2 linked regions of the Kluyveromyces lactis genome follow. The protein of the gene in region 2 binds, or shares a complex with, the protein of the main gene of each other region. Links are inferred from orthologs where the notes say so. Each region holds a gene or a part of one and is shown on either strand. Other genes may lie near its edges.

Region 1 (4,408 bases), on a different chromosome or scaffold from region 2:
TCTTTCAGTGTGAATTTGGTCTTAAGGATTCGATTTCGCCGATTTGAAAGCACAAGTCACGTGGTTTTTTTTTTCTTAAGTAATTGCCGAAGAGCAACCTTTCGAATCACTGATTAATATCTTGGGACGCACATTGCTTGGCCGGGTGTATTGAATAGAGCACCAAATGAACCAAGACCTGTGCTAAGACCTTGGGTTAAGAGCTTGTCATAGCCTCTTCTCATGCACTCAGTGAATAAATTGGTATTCCAGGGTTTACTTGTGGTAATAGTGGGATATTTCTGTTGGACTGTGCATAAAGATGTGCAATGGCAGTTATTGGAACAGCAATGGGTGGATATGAAGAAAATCTCTCAGTGCAAACGATCTTATGTTGAGAATAGATGTAGTGAGGGAATACGGCCGGCTTTAGCTGGGAAATGTGATGAATGGTGGCATTGTGCGCAGCTGGACTCGCACCCCAGCGTTCATCAGATGGCCAATTTATATGCCAAGACACTTGCACACACGTTAAATTCGTTTATACAGGCACTTGCCTTCAAGACAATAATAGTACTGATGCTATTTGTATTGCTTATATCAATTTCTAGTAAACTACTTCAGTAGTTTCTCTGTGTACATATATATCACGTATAAAGAAGTTACTTGCGAAGATCTTTTCTCCATTGTTTGAACGAATTTGATAGTATCTCTTCTCCTTCCACCAGCTGCTTGTATTCTTCGTCGTCAGACTCAATTTCCGTGAGTTTTAGGTGATTGTTCTCAAAGATGAGTTTATAGGCTTTAATTGTGTCAATATCGTCTTCTGGTCTTGGAATACTTGTCAATAACCACTCTGTGAAGGCACCATACCATTTTATGGCATCTACACACACAGTTTGCATCTGTGGGTTGTTGTTCTTCAATATTAGCGGTACCTCAGATGTAGTGAACTCCTCTACAGTTTTGAGCATGAAATTGTCATCTCTAAACCCATATATAATTCTGTTTATTCCTACTAGGAAACACTGTAACCAGGTTTTAAACAACTTACGTTCGAATTTATGCGCATCGGAAACGGTATTGACCATTGTGGTACATTTCAACTCTGCGTAATGCTTCAGGTTGTCATCTGAATCCTCTTTAAAATCAAAAATACAGTCCACTTCTGCACCGATCAATATCTTACATTTACCTATTCCTGTTCTAACCATTGAGATGAATTGGTCCCCATTGTTAATAATCTTTTTAGGTCTCTTTTCCAATGTAGTTCTGGGTACCAACGGTAGTGGCAGCGATAAGGTTGCAAGTGCTTCAAATTTGTAACCACTGTAATATGCCCTTGCCTGTAACGACTCCCTATTCTTGTTAATGGAGGTTTCCGAAGCGTCTGTCTTGACTTCCTTAATGAATAGTTGTCCATCAAACGAAACAATACGGAAATTTACCGGATTGAACTGTGATGAATCAAAAGCACTGGAGATGAGCTTCCGTATGATACCTCTGAACGTAATGATATCCACCTTCGTCTTCTTACTCTTACGTCTCTCATACTCTTCCAAAGTCGAAAGTAATCCATGCAATGTTGTAGAGTCGAATTCTTCCGTATTACACTCTTTGAACTTCTTGATTCCACTTAAAAGATCAAGCTTCTTGTCTAGATCCGTATCTGGCAAGTAATAGTATGCTAGCCTCGAATCATCGTTGACTAAAAATCCATTGTCCTGTGTTCTCGAATAATGACCTAATTCTTTTGGTTGCTTCAAAGCAGTAGTTGTACTTCTTTTTTGAACGAAAAGACTGGAAGATAGTACCATTATGCAAGAAGTCTATTCAAAGCTACCAGGTTTTCACGTTCTGAACTAGTCACCACTATAGAACACCTCCTCGTCAAATGTTTTCTTACATGTGTCTTGGTGATGAGATTCTTTTAAAGCTTTAAATGCATGAAAAATTTCCAATTGTAAAGGCCTTATTGTATGCTGTCTGCAAGATAAAAAGACAAAGAGAGAGTACGTTAAAATACAAAACAAATTATTTCCCTAGGAGGTATCACTGCAGGAAACTATCCTGGATAGAGATATTATAGAGCTTTTAACAATTCAATTGCTATTCATTACGTGTTTGATTACATGAAGGTTCTCTATTTATCGTTGATAATAGACTAGATACAGTGCAATGACCGGTTGATAATGATAATACAATAGTAATAATAATAATATAATATAACCAGGGACAAAAAGAAAATAATAAGATCTCGAAATAGTTCGTGATATGATTGATAATGGATCAAACATGGATTTATTCTTTATGTCAAGACATTAGTTTTTTATGCATTTGTCAGACTGTACTTCTGCCTTGCCAGCGATGAGAGTGTTCTCTCTTATTAACAAAGGCCAAAGAGGAGTTATAAAAGAACATTAAGCTGAGCGAGATAATTGATGCTCTAGATTTTGCTGTTTCTGTTGCTGTTGAACTCTACTGCGAACTGAGGAGACACTGTATAAAGCAGCACCTTCTCCGGTGACACCAACACCTGACAACATTTGTTCTTGTTCTTCTGTCTTGTAATCCAATGCATTCAAGGCTTCTTCATCCTTGTTGTAGTGGTGGAAACATAGCCAGAACAAACAACCAGCAATGAAACAAGCAACAGCCAAACCAGAGAATGTCCAGACGTACTTTGGATTTTCGGCTGTTGGGGACAAGGCGATACCGAGAGCAGAACCGACAGCGTTCGTGACCAAAAAGATGGACATGATGAAGGCTTTCATTGTGGCTGGGGCTTTAGAGTAAGCGTATTCCAAACCAGTAATGGACGCGAAAATTTCAGAAAGAGAAATTAAGACATAAGCAGGAACTTGCCAGCCGATATGGACTCTGTTTGGAGTGTTTGCGTATTCTGGTGCACAGGACATTGGGAAGTCGTAACATGGACCTGCTTTGTAAATAAAGTGTTGCAAGACAGCAGCGTAAACCATGGCACTAGAACCGAAACAGAAACCAATGAAGATCTTGGTAACTGGTCTGAAAGGAGTGAAACGTCTGATAAATGGGTAAATGAATTGTTCCATGATTGGGATGAATACAATTAAAGCAATAGAGTTGATAGCTTGTAAGAAATCATTTGGCAAACCGTGCAATTCCATAGTACCAGCTTGGGTAACGAAATTGTTAAGCATTTGACCGTAAACAACCCAGTAAATTGGGTAAAATGCGAAAACTTTACAAGCCTTGAAAGCTCTTCTAATTTCATCGATGAATAAATCATTCCATGGGTACTCCTTTTCTGGGTTCAAAGATGGAACGGCTCTATTCAAATTGAAACCGTTGCATAAACCAATCCAGCAGATTTTGAAACATCTTGCAATGACATGGTCACCAATGGGCCTCCTCACGTACTTCTTTCTACCAAACACAAGCACCACGATACCGACCCAGAAGAAACAGAAAGTTAACAAATAAGCAGCCCAGAAACCGTAACTAGCTTCTAAATGGGTGGTTGCCATGACAGATAAAGAACCAATATTAATCATCAAGTAGAAGAACATAAACACATTTTGCATTGTAACATTGGGATCTTCGATGACTTTTTCACCGTTCTTCAAAACCTTAATTCTAGGCCTTGTCTTTGGGATTTGATCTGCGATCAAGACGGACAAATTAGCTTTGATAAAACCAGTACCAATACCGATTATAATCAAAGAAACGATAAATCCACCCAACGAGGAGTTTTTATCGTTGATACTTGGGATTGCAGTCATAAACAAGATCAGGATACCAACAACATAGAAACTGGCACCAACACAGATAGTATTATATTTACCCCAGAAAGTATCAGCCAAATAACCACCTAACAATGGAGTAACGTAACACCAAAACTGGAAGAAATACGACAAAGCAGTGGCACCTTGTGATTTCAACTGCAAGACACCCTTTGGTGTGTCGTTAGGACCGTTTTGCATATAGTTTTGGAATGGTGCAGAAAGACCATAGTATGAGAATCTTTCAGCCAATTCAACGATGGCAATCAACCAACAAGTGAATGGAATCCTTTCCGACACATGTCTCAAAGTACTCAACTCTTCTTCGGTAGGTTCTCTTCCATTTTCGTTTTGGTTGTCATCTTCGTCTACAGCACCAATAAAATCGATTTTATCAGAACTAGCATGATGGTCCTTTGAAATATATACCTTGATGTCTGTGTTGTTTTTGAATTTTTCATCTTTCTTCTCACCAGTAAATTCATCATCACTACTAACTGTGCTGTCAACGTTCAATGCCTGACTGTTGTTGTTGTTGTTGTTGTTGTTGTTGTTGTTGTTGTTGATGATATCATCACTAATTTTGTCGTCTGTCAAGAAATCCTTTTCTGCGGCGGACATATTTGCTTGAACAAAAGGTACGGTGTGTGTGTCTTATAAGTTGA
Region 2 (6,440 bases):
CTCAGGTACAATGGACACTTTGATCGGTCTTTCTACTGTTTGTGCATATATTTTTTCATGCTATTCCATAATTTCTAGCATTTACCATAAATCGACAAAAATGCCAAAAGTCATCTTTGACACCGCTGTCATGCTTCTCACATTTATTTCTTTGGGCAAATTACTCGAAAATAAAGCGAAATCGGAAACTTCAACTGCAATGAGTAAACTCATCTCTTTGACCCCGTCCTCCTGTTCCATAGTTTTACCAGATGGCTCTACCAGGGAAATATCAGTTGAATTGTTACAACCAAATGATATCGTAGAAGTCGTACCAGGAATGAAAATACCAGCTGATGGTGTTGTTATTCGTAATGAAACTGAAGTTGACGAATCGCTAATCACAGGTGAATCGATGTTGGTGGAAAAAATCGTCGGATCTCAAGTCATCGGGGGGAGTGTCAATGGACCTGGTCATTTCTACTTCAGAGCTATTCGTGTCGGAGAAGATACAAAATTAGCGAACATTATCGCAACGATGAAAAAGGCACAGTTATCTAAAGCTCCTATTCAAAAATACGCTGATAAGATGGCGGGCATATTTGTCCCGTTTGTGATATCACTATCAGCAATAACATTTATAACTTGGATGCTTGTGAGTTACACGATGAAGACTCCTCCTCTCATCTTTAACAGTGAAAATGGCAAATTCTTCATGTGCATGCAAATGTCTATTTCTGTAATTATTGTTGCATGTCCTTGTGCATTGGGTCTAGCGGCACCTACGGCGATTATGGTTGGTACTGGTGTAGGTGCTAGTCATGGTGTTCTCATCAAAGGTGGTGATGTTTTGGAGAAGTGTAGTGCTCTACAGACGTTTTTGTTCGATAAGACAGGTACCCTCACGACGGGGCGGATGAGTGTAGAAAATTTCATTAATTATAACAGTGATGTATCTGATTTACACTGGAAGATGATTTCATTGTGTGAATCAATAGGAGAACATCCAGTTGCAAAAGCTATTGTCAATTATGCTGATTCCCACGTAAATAAATCAAGCATTTTCGATTTGGATTTATCGAATGAGGAAGTTCTCATTGGAAAGGGAATTTCCTGTAACATCACAGATAAAAATACTTCTAAAATCCATACAATAACCATAGGTAACAAGAAATTATTTCCCGATGAGAGTTTGAGTGATATCGCTTCTTCTACTTTAACAGAATCTTATGTTTCCATCGATGGTAGTTTAGTCGGCAAATTTGAAATATCTGACAGGGTCAAAGAAGACGCACATTTTGTTGTAGAATATTTACAAAATTTGGGCATTAAATGCTGCATGGTCACAGGAGATGCGCATCAATCTGCTCTGAAAGTGGCACAACAACTTGGCATATCCGCTAATGATGTCTTCAGTGAAGTCACTCCTGAGCAGAAACGTGATATTGTCATTCAACTCCAAAACAACGGTACAGAGAGGGTTGCCTTTGTCGGAGATGGTATTAATGATTCTCCGGCTTTGGTTGAGGCAGATCTAGGAATTTCGATATCTTCTGGTACTGATATTGCAATCGAAGCTGCCGATATCGTTATTCTTGATTCGGATAATAAAAATAATTCGTTAAAAGGTTTGGTTTATGCACTTGATATTGCGCGTAAAACATTCTATAGAGTGAAGCTGAATTTCTTTTGGGCTGTCTGTTATAACACATTCATGATTCCCATTGCTATGGGTTTATTAGCTCCTTGGGGTATCACTTTACATCCAATGTTGTCTAGTGCTGCAATGGCTCTAAGTTCCGTGTCCGTGGTCTGCAGTTCGCTAATGTTGAAGAGGTGGACACCGCCTTCACTCAATATCAAATCAATGGAAGCTTCCGGTGGATTGTCATGGCTTAGATTTGGTAGAAACAGTAACAGAGGTGATGATATTGAACTTCAGGAAAGATTGATGTAACCTTAGCTATTTACGCTATTGCAATTCTTAAATATCAGTACTTGTATTATAACATTAATAAAATTCATATTCGTAATAAACGAAAGATTGTATAATAGAATCGCTGGATGAGTTTATTGTACAGTGAACCAAGCGCTGTGTTTAGCAATTACTGGTATTATTGTTACTCAAAGCGGTTTGTCACTACATCGTTGATGAGCTGAGTTATTTATCCGGGTAACAATAAACAATAAGTAAAATTAATCGATGAGATGAACATAACTTTAGAAGTACAGATGAATGCATACTGTAATCTAATAGGCAGTTGGTACAAATAGCGAGAAGTAAGGCCAGGTACTCACAATGGGTGTTCCGTCCTTTTTTCGTTGGTTGTCTAGGAAATATCCTAAAATCATTTCTCCTGTGTTGGAAGAATATCCAGTTATCGAAGATGGTGTTCAACTACCGCTTGATTACTCTTCGGCCAATCCCAATGGTGAGTTGGATAACCTTTATCTCGATATGAATGGTATTGTTCACCCTTGTTCACATCCGGAGAATAAGCCACCACCTGAAACAGAGGATGAAATGCTTCTTGCTGTGTTTGAGTACACAAATCGCGTTTTGAATATGGCCAGACCAAGAAAAGTCTTGATGATAGCGGTTGATGGTGTTGCACCAAGAGCGAAGATGAATCAACAGAGAGCACGTAGGTTTCGTAGTGCAAGGGATGCAAAACTCCAAAATGAAGCCAGAGAGCAAGTATTACGAGAAAGAGAGGACTATGGTGAGACGATTGATGAAAATGTCAAAAGTAAAAAGACATGGGATTCAAACGCAATTACTCCAGGTACCCCATTTATGGATAAACTAGCTACAGCTTTAAGATATTGGACAAGTTTCAAGTTAGCAACTGATCCCGGGTGGAAAAATTTACAAATTATTATAAGTGACGCTACTGTTCCAGGTGAAGGTGAACATAAAATAATGAATTTCATTAGATCTCAAAGAGCAGACACTCAATATAATCCAAATACAACACATTGTATATATGGGTTAGATGCAGATTTGATCTTTTTGGGACTAGCAACCCACGAACCTCATTTCAAAATATTAAGAGAGGATGTGTTCGCCAATAACAACTATAAAAAACCAAAGCCTCAAGATATGATAAATTTATCTGAAGAAGAGAAACAACAGCTTATTCAACAAGATTCAGAAAAGCCATTCTTATGGCTCCATATCAGCGTTTTAAGAGAATATCTTTCAGCAGAATTAGCGATTCCACATTTATCGTTCCAGTTTGATTTTGAACGAGCAATCGACGATTGGGTTTTCATGTGTTTCTTCTGTGGTAATGATTTCCTACCGCATTTACCTTGTCTTGATGTGAGAGAGAATAGCATTGACATTTTGGTGGATATATGGAAGACTGTGTTGCCCAAAACAAAAACCTACCTAACATGTGATGGTACACTCAATTTGGAACCTGTAGAAGCTTTACTTGAACAATTAGGAGACCGTGAAACAGATCTTTTCAAAAAGAAATACATTCAGGAAGTTCGTAAGCAAGAGGCTCATGATAGGCGAAAGAAATTGAAAAGTAACCCCAATGTTTCCCAGGGCAAGGTCGACAGAAATTTTATGATTCCGTTGGAGAATATGCCGGTCTATGATGTTGATGGCAACGCCGCTGAAGGCTCTTTGAATTTGTCTAATAAGGATTTCGCTAATATGCGTAAAGAAATTAATTTGGCGAATGAAGGTGATGGCGAAGCAGCTAAAGCTTTGAAACTAAAAAGTGAGAAGAATAGCGGTGTGGTCGAGTTTTCATCGGAAGAATTGAAAAATAGCGTGCAACTGTCGAAGACTGCGAACTACGATGCTGCTACCAGCTTACAGGAGAAACTTATTGCTAAGAAGATGGCAATGAGAGATGAGGAAAATGCAGAAGAATTGTCGTTGAAACGGAAAAGTGAAGATGTTGACTCTGCTGAAAAGGAAACATCCAATGAACCTGAGGATGATGAGGCCGATTATGATGAAGACGAAGGCTCTACTGTTCCACCAGCGGTCATCCACACCGGTATTGTAAAATCAGGGTTCATTGACACCGATGAGTCGGTTAGACTTTACGAACCTGGATATCATGATCGTTACTATCAACATAAATTCCATGTTCCAGCAAAAGATATTCCAGCTCTGCAAAAGGATGTGATTAGGTGCTATGTGGAAGGTATTTCATGGGTTTTATTATATTATTATCAGGGATGTGCGTCTTGGACTTGGTACTATCCATACCATTATGCTCCTTTTGCTCAGGATTTCAAGAATATAAAAAATCTAGATATTCACTTTGATCTTGGTGAACCATTCTTACCATACGAACAGTTAATGAGTGTTTTACCAGCAGCATCAGGCCACGCACTACCCGAAATATTCAGACCATTAATGTCAGATCCAAACTCTGAGATTATAGATTTCTATCCTGAAGAATTCCCAGTGGATATGAATGGTAAAAAGATGGCTTGGCAGGGTATTGCACTATTGCCATTTATAGATGAAACACGTTTACTGAAAACAGTTCGAGAACAATATTCTAAGCTTTCTGATTCAGAAAAGGCAAGAAATGTTAGGAAGAAGGATGCACTTTTGATCAGCAACAAGAATGTGAATTACGACCTGTTTATGAAGAATTTATATGGAGAAAACCCCGTTAACGTGATAGAGTTTAGACATTTCAAATCTGGTTTAAGTGGATTCGTAACACAAGCTGAAGAAGGGTTTGAACTAAACTCCAAGCTGATATGTCCTATTAATGGGGGTGGTTTGCCAGATTTGAGTACAAATTTATTCCTAAAACTTTCGTATACGCAGCCTGTGGTTGCGGGTAGATGTAAATCGTTAGTATTGAACGGATATATCCCACCTCAACCAATGCTTACCCCACAGGACCGAGACTGTATCATTTATAAATACAGTAACCGTTGGAATCCTTCCATGATGAAATACAACATTGTGCCTGTTGGCCCATCGGGGATTACCCAATATCAGCCCAGGGTTGGAGGTTACAGAAGTTTCTTCTTCCATAAAGAACAGACAGCTTATGCTCAACAACCGCAACAAAATAGAGAGTATATGCACTCGCAACAGAGACAGCCACAGGGCAGCAGATATCAACAGTCTAGGTATAATAATGGAAACTACAATAATAGTAACAACGGTTATTCTGATAATAATAATGGTAATACCGGCAAATACAACCGTCATTATAACAACAGTAGAGGTAATAGCAATCGATACTCGAATAGTAACGATAGAAGAAGGGAATTCAGAAGATGATGAACTGTGGACAATTTTATACCCGTTTATATCAGCACATTTATTTGTAATACATACTATAACATCAACATCCAAAGCATATTACTGAGCAACAGGAGTAGAAGCATTCGCGACAGTGATCAGCTCCACAGATACTCCTTTTCCAGTATCATGAACCTGGATACAAAATACACGTGATTTGTAGTTTCACTACTGTGTCTAATATTTCTCCAACTGTATAACAATTATCCGATATAGTGTAACGGCTATCACATCACGCTTTCACCGTGGAGACCGGGGTTCGACTCCCCGTATCGGAGTATTTTTTTCAGTTTTTCAAGAGAAGTCTTTTTTCTTTTTTTCACTTTTTATCAGCTTGTGTACGGGCTCTTCTTTGCCAAACCTTTGATGATGAAAACCTCAGCTAAAGCCATTAAACTCGTGAAATGATTAATACCAAAAATGTTACTTTGGCGTTTTCATAGTAGTGGATGAACAAAGCTCATCGCAAAAATTTAGGAGACTCCGTTTAGTTGGAGTGTTGAAGGTCGGCTGTTCGATCACCTATTCATTGCATTTTTTGACCCTCACTATCTCACTGTAATGGATCTTCCAATACCGAAAAGTCCCCAGAACAAACAGGATGAAGTTCAAGTTCCAAGTTCATCTCCCTTGTTACAGACAAATGAAGAATCTTCTCCGTTAAGGCCCGAAACTGGTACGCGGATAGATGAATCGCCAATATCAAGTAACTCTACTTCTTCCCTTTTGAGGGACAAGTTCACGTATCAACCGGCTACGAAAGCAAGAAATGGTTACTCTCAGAATGATTTATCGCATGAACAAGCTTTAAAAGTGTTGGTTCAAGAATACAAGGACCTATCACCCACTTTGATTAATGCAATTTTCAAGCAAAACTCTATGTCTATCTCCTCGTCAAGAAAGCGTTTGGACCATATTGTCGCCTCACGTACCGGGGGATCGTGGAGATTCCAATCTAAAACAAACGTGAACCCGACACTTAACTTAAATAAACCCAACTCTCCCATGGATCTGTCAAAATCTAGATTAATCTCATTGAAAGAGGGTGGCTCCTCCGGGAACAGCATCAAAAGCAATCCTGCTATTAATTTGCCCTCTAGAAATGTATCCACTTCCAAGATAACCATCGAAAAGCAAAAGACAAGCATTTTCGACCGTTACT

What was found. Proteins that work in one complex are often made in the same cells at the same time.
Region 1: the proteins of RAT1 (region 2) and RAI1 are in contact, whole or in part, in a crystal structure (PDB 3FQD), measured with the Schizosaccharomyces pombe proteins. The link is inferred for Kluyveromyces lactis from reciprocal best matches to the Schizosaccharomyces pombe genes dhp1 and din1. Residues at the interface, in NP_594155.1 of Schizosaccharomyces pombe: Arg218, Val219, Pro221, Glu222, Asp318, Arg321, Leu371, Asp372, Lys789, Ser843, Phe845, Val846, His847, Lys848, Ser849, Met850, Leu851, Leu852, Arg853, Gly854, Lys856; in NP_594904.1 of Schizosaccharomyces pombe: Tyr45, Tyr46, Pro47, Ile158, Trp159, Asp160, Ala161, Cys162, Ser163, Arg164, Ile167, Glu168, Trp204, Asp205, Lys206, Glu231, His236, Glu288.

The regions. Positions count from the first base shown.
Region 1 is NC_006041.1:1,139,768-1,144,175, forward strand, and holds RAI1 (decapping nuclease), read right to left. Parts: upstream 1,797-4,408; coding exon 642-1,796; downstream 1-641. Other genes in the region: BRR6 (Brr6p), read left to right, coding at 223-606; PTR2 (Ptr2p), read right to left, coding at 2,400-4,364. UniProt on the Schizosaccharomyces pombe protein: Decapping enzyme for NAD-capped RNAs: specifically hydrolyzes the nicotinamide adenine dinucleotide (NAD) cap from a subset of RNAs by removing the entire NAD moiety from the 5'-end of an NAD-capped RNA.
Region 2 is NC_006042.1:701,677-708,116, forward strand, and holds RAT1 (ssRNA exonuclease RAT1), read left to right. Parts: upstream 1-2,278; coding exon 2,279-5,257; downstream 5,258-6,440. Other genes in the region: Cu(2+)-transporting P-type ATPase CCC2, read left to right, coding at 1-1,936; DNA-dependent ATPase FUN30, read left to right, coding at 5,840-6,440. UniProt on the Schizosaccharomyces pombe protein: Possesses 5'->3' exoribonuclease activity. Required for the processing of nuclear mRNA and rRNA precursors. May promote the termination of transcription by RNA polymerase II. Essential for vegetative cell growth and chromosome segregation.